3 linked regions of the Oryctolagus cuniculus genome follow. The protein of the gene in region 1 interacts with the protein of each later gene in a pairwise test. Links are inferred from orthologs where the notes say so. Each region holds a gene or a part of one and is shown on either strand. Other genes may lie near its edges.

Region 1 (5,267 bases):
TGTCCAGTGTCCCCGAGTGCAGGAGTGTCACGTGACTTCCAGAGAAGCCGCATGTGGAAGAAGCCCCACTCAAGAATGAGTTAGGGCGCCGTGAGCCATCAGCGCTGTGGTAATGAATCAGCATACTGAGCGAGGTGTCTTCAGAAACACGGGAAGTAGCAGCTTGTATAGACTGGCTGATGAGAGCACTGTGGCCAGAGGCTTGGAGGAACTGAAGCCTGTATTTCTCTTCGGAGCAATGGCTCAGTTTTTGCTAATTCAGTGTTTGTGGGAATGTTCTGGAACATAACTACCGCGAATAACCGGAATCCACTGTGTACATGTTTCCTATAGGAGGCTCCTCCCCTTTGGGCTGACGTGGGCTCTCATTTCTGTCACTCACTCCATTTGTTGGCATTTGAGAGCACAGAATGGAGACAGGGGACTTCCCTTCTGGGCCAGCCTGCATGGCGCCTGTCACTAACACCCTCTGCATCCCCTCGGCTAGTCTCCTCCTTGCCCCCGGCTCTAGGGTGCAGCAAAGCCATGAGAGGTGAGAGAGACAGAAGCATGGGGTGTCAGGAACTCCAGGGAGTCCCAGCAGCTTCTCCTGGGCTCTGCAGGCTGACTCAGGGTGAGGTCCATGTGCCAAGAAGAGAAACAACCACTTTCCAACCCTGCACCAGCCCTGCCCCTAGATCAAGTTAGTGTCGCCTCCACCTCTGCTTCTCCAGCTTGGCTCTCCGCTGCAGAACCTAGCCGGTTTCCTACATGACAGATGCCCGCGTCATGATTTATTTGCGATGAGCTGGGTGTTGGAATGTTTCAGTTTCCCAGATATGCAGGGAAGTTAGCTTACCCCACCAGCTGAGTCCTGTGCAGTGCCAGGCACAGGATCTGTGAACCCTTGGTCTTTCATGGCCCTTGGGAGTCAGATTCGTGAGGGCAATTGGTGGTCTAGAAACACTGTTTATTTTGGCGTCACTTTCTTTAAACCATAAGGCGTTTAGGAAAAGAGATCTGCAAAGCTTCACTAATATAAATATCTGCTCCATCAGTAGCCATCAGTGTGGTATTAGAACTGGCATTGCATGTCTTGGGTTCAGGTCCCAACCCTGCAACTGATTGGTGGAGGAAGATTAACTCTAAGCTCTCCCTCCTGTACAGAGTTTAATGCCCAGCACCAGCCTAGACAATTCAGTTATAATGCGAAGGGCAATGCCATGCCAGAATCCCATATCTGAGAGCGAGAGCCATTTCAGGTCCTGGCTGCTCCACTTCTGATGCAGCTCCTGCTAATGGCCTGGGAAAGCAGCTGAAGATGGCCCAAGTGCCTGGGCCCCTGCACCCGTGTGGAAGGCCTGGATGGCATTCCTGGCTCCTGGCTTCAGCCTGGACCAGCCTCTGCCATTGCAGCCATTTTGGGAGTGAACCCTGGATGGAAGATCTCCCTCTTTCTCTCTCTCTCTCTCTCTGTTTCTCTATCATCCTGCCTTCTAAGTAAATAAATAAATTTTTCTAATAAAAAGTGTTACAACGGAAATTAGCTGGTGAATTACAGATTCCTCATCTAAGTCTGAGACCTCAGATTTTAGAAGTGGAGTGGTCGGTCTGCTTGCTTTGTTTTAGTATAGTTCATTAAGACTTTCTGGAAGGAATTCTTTGAAGTTGAAATTCATGACCCCCATTTCAACAGAAGTGACTTCCATTCTGACATCAGCATATGCGTTTGATTCTGTTTTATTCCAGGTGATGAACAGCAGCATAAATCAACTGTACCCAGTGTAATTAAAACAGTTGATGGGAGTTAGGCATCCAATATAAAGCGAACAGTTGTAATGAGATACTACTTTTCCTATGTACAATTACAAGACGGCCTTGTCCCTTGCCTCCACATTTTCCTGGTCTGTTTCCATGTATGCTAACAGCCTCATCTTATGCCCGCCCCATCTGACTGCACCGCCTGCGTTCACGCTCCTGGAGCTGTGTCAAGGACTTTACTCTGAGGAAGGCCCACTCCTTCTTCCCCACCCCCACACCACTTAGTTGCTGGGGCCTTCCCTGGCCGCCCCACCAGAGAAGATGAACCCTTTCCTCTTCTACATTCCTTTTTTTTTTTTTTTTTTTTTTTTGACAGGCAGAGTGGACAGTGAGAGAGACAGAGAGAAAGGTCTTCCTTTTGCCGTTGGTTCACCCTCCAATGGCCGCCACGGCCAGTGCGCTGCGGCCGGCGCACCGCACTGATCCGATGGCAGGAGCCAGGAGCTTTTTTCCTGGTCTCCCATGGGGTGCAGGGCCCAAGGACTTGGGCCATCCTCCACTGCACTCCCGGGCCACAGCAGAGAGCTGGCCTGGAAGAGGGGCAACCGGGACAGAATCCGGCGCCCCGACCGGGACTAGAACCTGGTGTGCCGGCGCCACTAGGCGGAGGATTAGCCTAGTGAGCCGCGGCGCCGGCCCTTTTTTTTTTTTTTTTTTTTTTTTAAAGATTTATTTATTTGAAAGTCAGAGTTACACAGAAAGAGGAGAGGTAGAGAGAGGTCTTCATCTGCTGGGTCACTCTCCAGTTGGCCACAACGGCTGGAGCTGCGCCGATCTGAAGCCAGGAGCCAGGAGCTTCCTCCCGGTCTCCACATGGGTGCAGGGGCCTAAGGACTTGGGCCATCTTCTACTGCTTTCCCAGGCCATAACAGAGAGCTGGATCGGAAGTGGAGCAGCTGGGTCTCGAACCAGAGCCTAGATGGAATGCCAGTGCCACAGGCAGAGGATTAACCCACTGCACCACAGCGCCACAGCGCCACAGCGCTGGCCCCTCTACACTCCTTTTAGCGCTTCATTTATTAAAGCTTTAAAAAAAAAAACCTCTGGGCAGCAGACACAGCAGGCACAAGGAGGGCCTGAGGAACCTGCTCCCTGTTCTGTTTCACGTGGGAAAACCTGCAATAAACTAGTGAACAGATACACACAGTAGGCCCTTTTTGTAGTATCACATCACTTCAGGGCCAGGCCCTGTATGTCTTTGTTCAACGTCTGTGGGCTCATGCAGGCTGCACTTAGTATCTGCCTTACACACAGCTCTCTGTCCAAAGCACACAGTGCAGACTTGGAAGAGGAGCCCGCGAGGACTCCTTCAGCCGTGGGGCTCCAGTCTAACCAGCGAACCCTCCCTTCCTGCCTTCATTCAGTGGTGGTGTTGTTCTTTGTTAACAGGAATTGGTGGCACAAAATACATCTCCTTCGAGGAGCGGCAGTGGCACAACGACTGCTTCAACTGCAAGAAGTGCTCCCTGTCCTTGGTGGGGCGGGGCTTCCTCACAGAGAGGGACGACATCCTGTGCCCGGACTGCGGCAAAGACATCTGAAGGCCCCGCGGGGATAGCGCGCAGTCGCTGCTTGAGTCACACACACACACACACATTTATGTATTTTCTTTCTCCACCAGCAATATTGTGCTCTGGCTTCCACCTGCCTCATGTGCTTCTCAGTGCTAGTCTTGTCTGTTTAAATCCTTTCATCTTCGGGACTAAGTCAGTCCCAGGGAAAAGCGAGAATCCTCATGCAACCCTACGTGGGAAGATAGTTTGGAATTTCTGTAGTTATTAGGGCCAATCCAATTGCAAAACTCCTCTCGAATGATGTCTTTATAAGCTTATCTTTCTTTTCACTGCATATTTAAGTGCAATTCGCATATGTCACAAACTTGACTTTTAAGAACTGTATAAGGTAATGAAGCATTGGTACCTACAGCTTTTAAACTTCCTGTTATGTAAAATCGAAAGCAAGAGTATGTGATTTACAATAAAGTTATTCCAGACAGAATGTTTTGGATTAATGATTAAACGTTGGGATTCTCAATGTAAGGACAACTTTCTTGCCTGGCCCAGCGATTGTTCTGTGCCCTGCAAGTTCTGATGTGCTGGGACCGGAAGTGGTGTCACTACTTCCAGGAAGCCTGCAGATCCATGTCTCTCCTGCCTCTTCTCTTTCTTCTCGTTTCCCAAGTGCTCCCTGGAACGCACTGCTCTGCATTTGAAGCCAGTGACAGGCAGGGCCATTTGGGTGTCACTTTTCCTGGCAGATGCTGGCTTTGTCCCACTGTGATGGATCTCCTACACTGAACTGCTTTCTCCCCCATCAAGTGAAGGACTGGGCAAGGGCACAAGCAACTTGAGGGCCAGAAGTGACATCCTGTTCATCTTTATACTCAGTATCCTAGCAACTGAGGGCATGTAGGAAGCCTTCAGTGTTTCTGCAAAGGGAATGATAGAATCATTGCTGTCAGAATACTACTCTGGGCGCCTAGGTTTACAGTGGCTGAAATAATCTTGGATAGCCTGGTTCTAGCTCGGGCTCTGCTTCCAATACAGCTTCCCATGAATGCCCACCCCAGGACAGCAGCAGATGATGGCTTACTGCAGTTCCTGCGACCCGTGAGGGAGACTGGGAGTGAGTTCCTGGCTCCTGGCTTCAGCCTGGCACATCCACTGCTATTGCAGGCACTTGGAGAGTGAACCACCGGATGGGAACTCTTTCAAATAAAATGAACATTAAAAATAAAAAAAAATTAAGCCTCAGGATTTTCTCACTGGCCCTTGTCTGATACCTATCTATTGTTGCGTAGCAAACTACCCGCAATACTCAGCGGCTTAATACAACCCCTGCTGTATTCACTCACAATTCTTAATCGGCAATTTGGACAGATGTTCCCTAGCAGAGAGGCTGGGGGACAGGTGACTAGTGGTCACGCATCTGGCATGGCCAGATGGCTATTGGCTGGGACATGTATTTGCTGTGGGCAAGCCTGGGCTTTTTCTTCTTTTTTTAAGATTTATATATTTATTTGAAAGAGTTACAGAGAGATCTTCCATCTGCTGGTTCACTCCCCAAATGGCCGCTAGGGCCAGGGTTGGGCCAGGGTTGGGCCAGGCTTGGTCAGGCTGAAGCCAGGAACCAGGAGCTTCATCTGGCTCTCCTACATGGGTTCAGGGTCCCAAGCACTTGGGCCATTCTCCACTGCTTTCCCAGGCACCTTAACAGGGAGCTGGATCACAAGTGGAGGAGCTGGAGTTCAAACCGATGCCCATATGGGATGCTGGCACTGTAGGCTGTGGTTTCAACCTGCTGAGCCACAGAGCCGGCCCTGGTTTTTTCATTTCTCATAGCAAGGATCCAGAAGTGACCAAAATATTCATCTGCTGAAGCACGATTTAAGGCCAGGCCAGGGGATACTCAGGTGTTGGGAAGCAGATGGCACCTTTGAGGAATGAACAGATTCCGCAGGTACTAAA
Region 2 (5,957 bases), on another chromosome or scaffold:
AATAAAAAAGAGGAAAAAAAAGAAAACAAGAGAAGGCAACTACCCATTTCAGAGCAAAACCTCAGGGGGATCCAGGAAAACAAGTTCTCCACTACTTCTACATTCTGTCAGTTGCCTTTAGGCTTCCCAAGCTATAATTCCCAAACCAATCACATTTTAACATAATTATCAGAGATGTTGAAAATTAGAAATGTACAATATGAATAACCTAGGCTTTCTGACGAATTCTCAAAGAAGCTAAAAATACATATGGTTAAAGATGCTATGCATAATCCAGAACTTTTAGAGCGGCTGGAGTGGAAGCAGCCACTACAGAGTGGAGGCCCAGCCTCTCAGTCTCACCTCATTGTTTTACAGACCTAGTCTGTTTTCTCAAACACTCTTTGCTCTTTAATAGCGTCAGGAGGGAGGAATCTGTTTCAGGCTCATTCATTTGTCAAAAATGCTTTCTATTTCGAAAAGGTTTTACCAAACTCTTAAAAAGATTCTACTTCCATTTATCCCAATTCACAGGAAGGCTCACAGAAGGGAAAGAACTTGGTTAGGAACTCAGAGCTAGGGGTGGATGCAACCAAAGGGGAGAAGCAGGAGAGTTCCCCCCAAAACGCACAAAGTGGCACCATCTCATGACAGATCACCATATACTTAAAACATTTATTATAAAAAACGCTTACCTTCGGTATACAAATAAGGTCCCTTCTATATCAGTCTTCTCCTGTAACACAATGAATCAATTAGTATTTTCCCCATAATCCAACTCCAAACACTCCCTAAGGAGAACTACTTCATGTTTATGAGTAACTTGTTTTATTTACTGTAAAATTAACCACCTTTGAACAGGGAAAGTTAAGTCTCCCTCTAATGGCACAAATTTCGGTTACCAATTTCCTATGCATCCTTTCAATGCTGCTGATGCAGACATAGGCACATACAGACTTTAACCCAGCAACCTGTCTTTATCTGTAGCATTTTTCTTTTATAATCAGTGAAAGAGAAAATCACAGAACTAGCTTTCACTTTTTAAAGAAAATGTTTTGGCCAGATTTCTTAATTTTAATGACAAAGTCCTGTGGGCAACAATTTCTTAACTTTTTAAAGTTTATCAAACTTAACATAAAAAAAATGGAAATTTTCTTAGAGGATCCCTTGTTTTATCACTGGAACATTTTGGTATATTTTCATGAGTAGCACACCTTGTGGTTAAGAATTACTATCAACACAATTAGGTAATTATTTTTTAGAACTTTGCTAAAGAATCATGAATACTGAAATTATACTCTGCCTTAAATAATTATTTTATCTTACAAGTAATGCAAAAAATATTTTAAAGTGACCTTGATCAAGAGTACAACTCAGTATTACCTTTCATTTGTTCTGCCAGAGTGTATTTAAATTTCAAACAAAGAAACAATGTTGCAATGTCTGCAGTTCACCACTTGCTGGACCTAACTATTTTAATGCAATGAAGAACATGTTAAAACTTTACATGTTAGACATATCAAACCAAATTATTTGGGATAATTTATACATGTAAAAAATCTCAATATCTTCCAGTATTACCTTAGCTTAAATATAATCATCAATCTTCCTTCCTAAGAATTCAGAAGCTTTTTCTTGCCTTCAAAATGTTATTAGTATTAAATAACTGGTGATCAAATGTCTCAAAGAAAATTTGTCCCCCAAAAAACACAGAACAGAAAAAGATGTGGTTATGCTCTATGAGCCGTGCTTCAATACATAAAAACAGCAGTTTATTTTTCAATTGTACTAGGGTATGGCAAAAAAGCTTGTGGAAAATGAAATTAAAATTATTTCGGCACAAAAAATTCTGAATTCCAAGCATTTTTTTCCAGAATATGTATTTTCCATGAACTTTTTTTGTAAACTGTTTACATCTCATATATAAACAAGAATTTTAGTTTAAAATTCTAAAATATTCAAAATGTATCAACAACTAGAAATAAGAACTTTTTAGGCACAAATTACAGTCCCATTCTTCCCCATTTGTTGGCAATCTATATTTCACAAACCAAGAGAAACGACTGAAAACATTTCAAACTAAGGCAATGTCTAAAATAGCTACACTTAAAAACACTCTATATTTTCATTCTCTGTGACTTCTCATGCTTCCTGTCTTCCAGGTGGTAAGAAAAAGATCATGAAAATTCTCTCCATGTGAATTAACTGTTGGTAAATGCCAGATGATTTTCATATAATTACTGACAAATATAACCTATGCATCTGTATAGTAAGGGACACAGTATGACAATCCTCCACAGTTTTGTTGAAAACTTTCACGCTCACTGAATGTCTGTGCCAGTCACTGACGAATTCAACGCAGCAAGCGTTTACTTAGTAAATTCTAGGTGTACAGCTTATGGCTGAATGAGTGAACCAGGGAGGGTCCGCAACCAGGAAACTGTTATTTTAACAACTAAAAGTACTTCAGGCAGGGACTAGCAAGAGCTGGTGAACAGAGAGAAAGTAACTTTTCAGACTCCCTCTGGTGCCCGAAAGCCAAAGTATTCAGTCCGCTGGGAGTGTTCAGAGGTGACATCACCGGTCTTTTTCCTGGAAAAGGTCTCCAGGGAATCCAATTAACACAGCAGCCCCCCTCCTAAGTGCCTTACGATCTTTTCCAAAACTCCGGAAATACAGGTACGAGTTCGATTAAACCTGGACTCATCCCACGCCCTCCCTCCCAAGAATTCAGACTAATTGGATTTCAAGTTTTAAATCCAAATGACCTCTGCTAAGGGGGCTCTCGTTTCTGTCCGCTGGGTGGCGGGGGTGGGGGGGAGGGGTGCTAATCTTGCAGATCATATATACATATGTAATTTATCCAATAATCCTCTAATCAGGAAACAAGCTTTCAGGGCCCATCTGACCCCACTGGTCTCACATCCTCCAGTGCACAGAAGAAGGAGGCAGGTCGCCCACGTCCTCAGACCCGAGCCCAAGGGACTGATCCTGGTCCAATCGTCCCCTCTGTCAGCTTTTCCCTGGGATGTCTCAGGCCCACTTCTCCTGTTCCTCTGCCCGAATCCCGGACACCCCCGACATCCCTCAGCTTCCCACCCGCCTCTTCGCCACTCCGCGACCTCACCTCCGCCGCCCTGGCCTCCAGCTTCGCCCCCCACACCAGGCAGCCCGCGCGGCCCCTTTAAGAGGTGGCGGCGGCCAGGACGGAGTCCTCAGCGGTCGCGCATCACTCACCCACTGGTTAGCCTTGGGACAGAAGGTGTACAGAGCGACCTGGCCCGTGAGGTCTGCGATGCTGGTGATGTAGGGGTCGTGCTGCTTCAGGGCCGCCAGACTCATCTCCTGCCCAGCTCGACTCAGCGACTCCATCTTGAATCCTGGAGCCGAGCCCCTCCGGTGGGGGCGGAGTCGCGGACAGGAAAGTGCCATCGAGGAAAAGTTCCCCCAGCTGCGTCAGCCCTCTCAACTTCCGCCTCTCTGAGGAGTCTGACAGCGGGGTGGTACAGCAGCCATTTAGCTCCGCCGCGCGCATGCCCCGGACGTCGAGTTCCGGCGTCGGCAGGTCCCATCCGCCCGAGCCGTCGGGGGCGGCGTGCGCGGCTGCGCGATGGGGCTGGCTGGAAGCGTTTCCTGCCCTCAGGCTGCGCTGTCCAGGTGAGGGAGGTGACGGCTGCCAGGAGAGGCTGGCGAGCGACGCTCCCTGGGATTACAGAAAGGAAACCCTGCTGTGGAAAAGGCTCTGCGGGCCGTTTAGAAGGCACGGAGAAGCGTGGGGCAGGGGGGCCTTAAATGACCCTCACTGATGTCGTCACTGATGGTTTCCGAAAGGAGAATTCGAGAACCTTCTTGGAGCTCCACAGGAGTGGCGTTTCCTTCGCCTGGATCCCGCGTGCATATTTTCAGTCAGCCCTGGGAGGAGCCCGTGGGGATTCGAACTCGTTTGGAACCTTATAAAATTTTAAATAGGTCACTCCTTTTGGCGAACATGTACTGAGCGTTTTAAGGAATCAGGTAGTAGCTAAAGAGTAAAACAAGTGAAAACTGTAGGGAGCTTTAGCTCCCCCCACACTTCAAAAAGCAAGTTTTTTTTTTTTTTAATTGATGGGACACCCCAACAGAATTGAAATGTTTTGAAGGGAAAACATGTTCTCCTCATAAAAATAGCACTCATGTCTGCAGCATGTACCAATGCTGGCAAAAACAAAACAAAGCAAAACAAAACAAAACAAAACACCACTCATTTAACTTTTGTTGTACAGGTGTTTATGGAACTCCTAATTGTGAAAAAGGGGCCGTTTGGAGCTTCCAAGTCTTGTTTAAGACATCTCCCTGGCTCCCTGAGAAAGGGAAAGAAGTAGGACAATCTAAGGAAACAGGGATGATGTTAAGAGACGTTGCTCTTTGATACCCAGAGGATGGAGCTACTAACTCTGGCCAGGGAGAATCTAGAAAGGCTTCATGGAGGAGGTGACATTGGGCTCAGTGCTCCAGGGATGAGCAGGAGTTCATCAGGGAAGAAAGGTAAGGGCTTTGGTTCATTTTACAGTGAGGTAGGAAGATGATTTAATTGAAGCCAGGGAGGAGAAGGCACTGGTTCGGAATTCCACACCAGTCAGCGGGGATCTGGTATTAGAACCCAGGGACTCCTGCCCTGTATCTTGAGATTTTTTCCCCCTCCACACCACAATTGCCTTTCTCTTCCCAGTGGCTGGAAGTAGCAGCTTTATTCCCCTCCACCTGCCTTCAATCCATTAACAACAAAAACCTCTGTACTATAGATATGTATTTTAAAATAGGTAATATACTCACTAGGTACAAACTGCAAGAGGCACAACTGAAACTGAATTTAGGTTTTTTTCCCTTGTATAGACTTACATCTCCTTTTAATCTACTATTTTTGGTTGAACCAGTGTAGACTAGTGAGGAGGACTGAGCTATTGAGGGAGTTTTTGTGTTTGGACTAGAAAATCACTTCAAATGTGTGCTTGCATGGGCTCTCAGGCCCTACACCACGCTTGAGAGGTAGTAAAAATAATGTAAATATTCTAGAATTGAAAGCCATCCCATTTATCTTGAGGTCCACTTTTGCTTTGTCAAGGCCTTTTTTGTGTCTTTAGACAGTGTACTCTGGGCAAGGAGAGATGGCCCTGCAGGTCCTTCGAACCCAGCACTGGCCCCGACACCGAGCACCTTTAAATGCTGGGGAACCAATGTGGTCTTGAAGTCCACACAAGAGCCTGGAGAGGGGGAGGAGGAGGGAACTGGGTGACAGCAGAGGTGGCAAGGAGGCCTACTCTTTACCCAAAGACCTTTAGTCGCTTTTGAGTTGTGTTCTCTGTATGCTAATTATTTAAAATAGTGGCAGTGTAATCAATGGGAGCCTGAAAATCTAATCAGTCCACCCCTTCTGCTCCCCCTCTGCGCAGCTTTGGGGTTAACCAAACAGTCTTGCTATTTACCGTCTGGAAGTCTAAAGGGCAAGGAAGACAATGAGGCTGTCAGTGTTTTACTTCCAAATCTACCAGCTGTGGAACTTTCCCAGTTGCCGCAGACATCTGTTCCTCCTGTGCAGAACCAAAGCCCTCGCCGCAGCCTTGCCGCGGTCAGGTGGATCACATACCGTGATGTGGAAAACCCTGCTGGGGCCGCCTACCACTATCTTTCCATCTCTGGTTTCTCTAAATCGCTCTCTCTCGGTTATTCCACCCCAGCCCGCTGGCCTCCTTACTGTTTCTGGCCTTATGCTGTTGAAACCAAATTACAACCAATATCATTTAAAGATCTCATTGTCTTTTATTTGTGATTCTAGAATCAGACAACACATTCTATGAAAGAATGAATTCTGGCGGGTGGGGTAGAAGGTGGTTGGCTTTAATAGGGAGAAGCGGGGAGTAGAACACAACTGGGGGTTTCAGATTATAGAGTTACCACAGAGGGATGTCCATCTTATTCTGGCTCAGGTAAATAAGGCCTCT
Region 3 (5,898 bases), on another chromosome or scaffold:
GGGACCAAGCACTTGGGCCATCTTCTGCTGCTTTCCCAGACTATAGCAGGGAGCTGGACTGGAAGTGGAGCATCCAGGACACAAACCAGTGCCCATATGGGATGCTGGTGTCACAGGTGGCAGCTTCTCCCTCTGTGCCACGATGCCAGCCCCAACATTGTGTTAGGTTTTAATGAATTCTCAAGCTCTTGACCTCAGCACAAGAAATCCTCTGGTGGGTTATTTTTACAATGCTGCGCCCCTTCCATTCTCTGGATCCCTTTAGTTTCCTCTCTTCCCGCTTCACCTTTCTGGCATTTGGGTTTCACTTCTCCTTTAGGGAGACGGTGCTTGTCTAAATCTGCTAGGCTGTCCTAGGGCTCCTGCGTGTTCCCTGCCCTCCCTTGCCCCACTATTTATAGCTAGGCTAATTTTGGGTGGCCTCTCTCTCTCTTCTGCTGTTCCTTCCTCCTGTGGCTGGTGAGGTGACTTCTGAAATATTTGGGCAGAGAGGTCAGACACAGATTCTTGGCATCTGATTTCAGCTTTGGATTTCTCCGAAGCTGGTGGAGTGCACATAGGGGGCTGACAGGCTGCAGGTGCAGAGAGGCAGCAGCTGGAGAACCGGGTGGGGACTCAGGAGGCCTGGGTTCTGTCCTGTCAGCTCTTCTCCACTGCCTGGGACTCTGAGACAGCAGAGATGGACAGGACATCTCTGGGAGAGAGTGCAAGGAGAATGCTGGTGCAGGGTTCCTTCTTAGCCCCTGTCTAGAGATGCCCTGGATGGGGTGTCCACAGGTGTAGTTGTACAAAAAAAAAAAAAAAAAAAAAAAAAAAAAAAAAAGGAGGCCAGACCTTCAAGTGGCAACACACCCAGGTCAAGGATTGTCCCAGGGCTGGCAGAGTGAGGGCCCCACGGACACTCCTGAACAAAGAAGGAAGAGAGACAGAGGATCATGGGAAGAGGAGATAGGTAGGACACAGACCTGAATATTTCAGAGAAGAAGGAAGAAGAGAGTCATACAATGTGCCAGCATTTGACAGGCAGAAACGACATTAGAGACATTGAGAAATAGTCTAAGATTCCAAGTGTGACAGAGACAAGGGAGGGACAAAAATAGAATTTGGGATGGGGGGGGGGAGAGAGGGAGAGAGAAGGGAAAGATGGACAGATGGACCCGCACAGGACCAATAGCCAGTGAAAACAAGGAGGAGGATGAGGGCATGGGAGCCAGAGAGGTCCCAGTTGTGCTGAATTGTTTCCTGGCTCTCCCCATGGCCCAGCCTCTGGATTAGAGTTATAAATAGCAGAAAGTTGGAAAATGTCCCCCTCTCCCTTTGCCTCTGTCCCAGCCTGGGGGAAGGGAGAGGAAGAGGGACAGGCCATTGGGTCCCCGTGGAGATCCCTTCTGTGCCCCACCCGCATCCTGCTGAGCCAGTCCAGGGCTCTGCCCCGCCCCTTCTGCCCCATGGGAGCCGCAAAGTCCCGGGAACAGTCTGGTGGCTGCAGGCTCCTTTGCATCCCTCTGCCTCTTGGGTCCAGTGTTTGCGGTTCCTGGATGAGCCCACCCCCTCACCCCTGCAGCTTGATCTCCTCTTCCTGTGTCACCCTCTGTCTTTTCTGCCTTCATCCTGCCCCTTGTTGGTCAGACTCTTGGCCTTCCTCCTGCCTCTGTCATGCTTCTCTTTCTCCAGCTCTCCACTTGCTCCCCTCCCTGTCTTCTCCTCGTCTACACCCTATCCTCTGCTCCTGTGAATGCTGACCTCAGTGCTAGCAAGGCCTGGTCATAGCCAGGCTGGGGGCGAGGGCGAGGGCGGGGGCGGGGGCGGGGATGAGGTGCTGTACCAGGATGCTTCAAAAAGTTGGCGGAAAATAGAATTAAAAGATAAGTTCACTTTGGTGCAAAAGTTCATGGGAAATGCATATCATGGCATGGCTTTCAGAAAATACTATTGCACCAAAATAACCATTTTCCGTTAACTTTTTGGAGGCTCCCTCGTGTGGGGCCCAGGACTGCTCATCGTTCTTCTCTCTGTCCGCCTCTCTCCTCCCAGGTTGTTCTTCAGTCTCCGCCACTTTCCTGCTACCCTCCTTACTCTTTCCTGGGCACTTCTCGCTCCCTCCCCGTTCCTAGGCACCGCCCCCACCGCTAGGGTAGGGGCGAGGGGTCGATGTGGGGAGGGGTCGAGGGCACTGCGTGACTGGGCCGGAGCCGGTGCTGGACCCGGAGGAACAGGGGCAGCAGGGGCAGGAAGGCCAGCTCCAGCTCTCTCCGAAGCTGCGGGCCTGGGCATCCTTTAGCCACGCCCCCGCTCCTCCACCTGCCGCTGGGGCGAGGGGCGGGGCCTGGGCGGGGCCTGGGCGGCACCCTGGGAGGGGAGGCGGGAGCGAGAGCGCGGACGCTGGAGCTGCGGCTGCGGCATTTGCCCTAGCGGGTGCTGGGACATCAAAGGGGCAGGATAGGAAGGGGTGGCGGGGCGAAAGTTTGGAGACCCCCCCAGAGAGCAGAGAGACTTCGGAGACCCAAGCCGCGCCTGCCGAGAGCTGGGGCTCGGGCGCGGGAATTTCCTCGCGCTTGCGGGCAGCGCGCGCGGGGCTCAGCTCATGGCCGGGACTCGGCGCCGCGATCCTTGGGGGGTCCCCGGGATCTGCTGCTTTCTTGGCTCTCTGCTCATTAGCCTGCTCCCGCCACGGGCTGTCGCCTTCAACCTGGACGTGATGGGCGCCCTGCGCAAGGAGGGCGAGCCTGGCAGCCTCTTCGGCTTCTCTGTGGCCCTGCACCGGCAGTTGCAGCCCCGACCCCAGAGCTGGTGAGTGAGTCGCCGCTCCCGCCCGCCTGAGCCTCAGACCACCCTCTGCCTCTTCCTCTCAGTTTTCCAGCCCCACAGATAGATATCCCACGCCCCAGTCCACATCATCTGTCTCGGGTGGGTAGCGTCCGGTACTCCCAGGCCCCGAGACCCAAGATCTCGCTCTGGGGATGAGTTGGAGGGCCAGGTTCTCGCCTCTGGAGGGGCCCATCTCCTGCTGATGCCCCCACCCCCACCCCGCACATCCTTACTCCAGCCCCAGGGTCTCTGGCTCCCCTTCTTTTTAGAGGACAAGTTTCCCGCAGGGAGGGACACTGTCCCTTCTGTCTCTGCTCAGGGTAGGAGGGGAGGAGAGAGGCAGAGAGATGGAGGGAGAACCGAGGACCTAACCTCCTGCCAGACCATGGCCACAGGATGTAGGGAGGGCATCAGGGCTCTGGGAGGCCGGGAGAGAGCTGCCACTTCCATGGACCAGTGTCACAGGAGGTTGTGTGTGTGTGGGGGGACCTGCCAGGGTCTGGCAAAGTGCAGGAGTGGGTTTGGGGGTCGAGGGCGCCAGAAAACAGAAGTCCCCAGAGTAGTCTTAGCAGCAGCCGGGGAGATGCAGAACGAATGCTGACCTGCTGCCTCCCTTGCTCCTTAGGAAATTTCCGACTCGGGAGGTAGAGATGGGAGGAGGAAGACCAATTCTAGTTCTTTTCTTACCAGTTCAGCCCCCGCCCCCCGCGTGTGTAGCCGGTGCTGGCGGTGAATCCTGTACCCTTCACTCTGGCTGCAGGTGTGAGTGCACAAAGAGCCGCAGGGAAGGAAGAAAGCTTCCCACCCCCTCCTGAGGGGGCTCTTCCATCCTTGGCCAGTGTCTGAGCCACACTAAGTGTCCATTACTGGGATCAATGTTGTCCACTGGGACTGTCTTTTCCTACCGTTGGCCCGGGGGCAGGGTGCAGGGAAGTGAGTCATTCCTCCCCTCCCACCCCCTTCAGGTGGGGGCTGGCTTTGATTTTTTTCCCATTATCGTTGTCATCTGGGGGTGGTGTCAGTGGTCCCCAAGACTTTGGGGGAGATAGAAAACAACTGACTTCACCTCTTCTTGGTCCTGCCATCCGCTTCCTCCCTCTTTGTCTCCTTCCCTGCCTTCCTCCTTCCCTCCCTCCCTCTTTCCCCCCTCTGCCAGAATTCCAGGACTGGAGGCCTTTTTAGGACATGCTGAACCCTCTGAGCTATTTCCAGGCAAATTCTAGGTTATTTTTAATAGCTTGGTCTCTTGTCATTTCCCCCTCCTCTCTGAAGGTGGCCCCTGATTTTGTCTCCCAGAGCCAAGCTGGGGGTATTCCCGGAGGGGCCTGACTAACCCTGCTTTTACTCCAACAGGGGGTGCCCTAGCTTTTGGGTGGCTGGATTGCCTTCTTTAGCACTCACTGATGGAAAAAACCTCTTTTCTTCTTTCTTGATTTATTTTTTAAAATGTATTTGAAAGGCAGAGAGAGAGAGAGAGAGAGAGAGAGGGAGAGAGAGAGAGAGAGATCTTCCAACCACCTGTACACTCCCCGGATGGCTACAACAAAAAGGGGTGGGGTGGGGTGGCTGAGGCCTGGGTTTCTCATGTGGGTGGCAAGGGCCTATGTTCTTGAGCCATCCTCCACTGCTTTCCCAGGCTCAATAGTAGGGAGCTGGATTGGAAGTGGAGCAGCTGGGACTTGAACCTGGCACTCATATTGGATGATGCTGTCTCAGGTGGCAGCTTAACCTGCTACTCCACAATGCTGGCTCTTTTGATATCTTTCAGTCTAGCCCCAAGATGAGACATTGAAGTCAAGCTTTCTTACCTTGTTCTGTGGTTTTGGTCTCATTTATTTCTTTTGGCTGTAAACTGGGGTTGCTATGGTGTGTTTAATATAAGTGCAATGCTTAGAATAGTGCTCCACTCATAGTGAGTGCCATGGAAGTGTAGTAGTGTTGTTATTTTTAAAATATTTATTTATTTGAAGGAGTTACATACACACACACACACACACAGCACACACACACACACACACACAGAGAGAGAGAGAGAGAGAGAGAGAGAGAGAGAGAGTCTTCCATCCACTGGTTCACTGCTCAGATGGCTGCAACAGCTAGGGTTTGGCCAGGCTGAAGCCAGGAGCCAGGAGCTTCATCCGGGTTTCCCACATGGGTGCACTTGGGCCGTCCTCTGCTGCTTTCCCAGGCCATTAGCAGGGAGCTGGCTCGGACGTGGATGGGATGCTGATTTCGCAGGTGGCAGCTTTACCTGCTATGCCACAGCGCCGGCCCCGGTGCTGTTTTCTTGTATTGTGATTCACAGGGGTAGAGAGTAGTCCGATGATCCTAGATCCAAAGACTGGGCTCCTAGGCCCCGTTGCCGGAGCCAGCCTTCCAGGCCAAGAGTCTTTCCCAGAGGGCCACTCAGATGAAGAGGGGTCAGAGAAGGGCTGGACTTGGGCTGGAGCCCTGGAGAGCGTGGACAGTGGGGGAGTGCAGGACTTGTGGGCTCCTCCTTCGTCTGCACTTAGCGGTGCTCCCAGGGAGTCCCTCTGCCCCCGGCTGCCAGCTCTGCTTTGCCTTTCTCCCTGCAGCGGCTGCAGTTGTGGCTACTATTCCGTCCGGAGGCCTGGGGTGGCTGAATTCATGGGACGGGAGCCAGGAAGGAGTGTGTGGCTGGGGCAGAGATGGAGAGGCTGCATGTGGGGATGCTTGTTCCCAGAGGGATCCACTAGGGATGCAGCTGGGCACACTGATGCAGTCAGCATCGTTCCTCTCCCCTCTTCTCTACTCCTGGCCTCCAGGGAAGATGTGAGCAAGGGACACTGTTAGCTCCTCTGAGTGCTTAGCTGTGCACTGACCCGCTGGGGCACGGGCGTCATCTCTGTCAGTCCGCATAGCGCATGGACTCAGCAAATGCGTCCTGTCGCTTCCCACAGGGCAAGCACAGAGCTGAGTCAGGAGCAGCGGTGGTCCTGAGTGCGGAGCCTGGGGCACTGAGGACTTGCACTGGGCCGTGTCACCTGGTTTCCGTTCCTTCCCTACCCGCTTTACTTTTCTGGTCTCAGTGTTGGCCCAGTCATTGGGGGGATGACAAAGAACCAGAGT

The links.
Region 2: the proteins of FHL2 (region 1) and DCP1A interact in binary tests that used the Homo sapiens proteins (3 or more experiments, as listed by UniProt). The two-hybrid records come from large-scale screens. The link is inferred for Oryctolagus cuniculus from reciprocal best matches to the Homo sapiens genes FHL2 and DCP1A.
Region 3: the proteins of FHL2 (region 1) and ITGA7 interact in a two-hybrid assay, tested with the Homo sapiens proteins (2 studies listed by BioGRID and IntAct). The link is inferred for Oryctolagus cuniculus from reciprocal best matches to the Homo sapiens genes FHL2 and ITGA7.

What each region holds. Positions count from the first base shown.
Region 1 is NC_091433.1:103,247,983-103,253,249, forward strand, and holds the end of FHL2 (four and a half LIM domains protein 2), read left to right. Parts: intron 1-3,189; coding exon 3,190-3,341; 3' UTR 3,342-3,798; downstream 3,799-5,267. UniProt on the Homo sapiens protein: May function as a molecular transmitter linking various signaling pathways to transcriptional regulation. Negatively regulates the transcriptional repressor E4F1 and may function in cell growth.
Region 2 is NC_091441.1:96,493,630-96,499,586, reverse strand, and holds the start of DCP1A (mRNA-decapping enzyme 1A), read right to left. Parts: upstream 3,550-5,957; 5' UTR 3,412-3,549; coding exon 3,217-3,411; intron 716-3,216; coding exon 675-715; intron 1-674. UniProt on the Homo sapiens protein: Necessary for the degradation of mRNAs, both in normal mRNA turnover and in nonsense-mediated mRNA decay. Removes the 7-methyl guanine cap structure from mRNA molecules, yielding a 5'-phosphorylated mRNA fragment and 7m-GDP.
Region 3 is NC_091442.1:58,535,844-58,541,741, reverse strand, and holds the start of ITGA7 (integrin alpha-7), read left to right. Parts: upstream 1-2,349; 5' UTR 2,350-2,584; coding exon 2,585-2,790; intron 2,791-5,898. UniProt on the Homo sapiens protein: Integrin alpha-7/beta-1 is the primary laminin receptor on skeletal myoblasts and adult myofibers.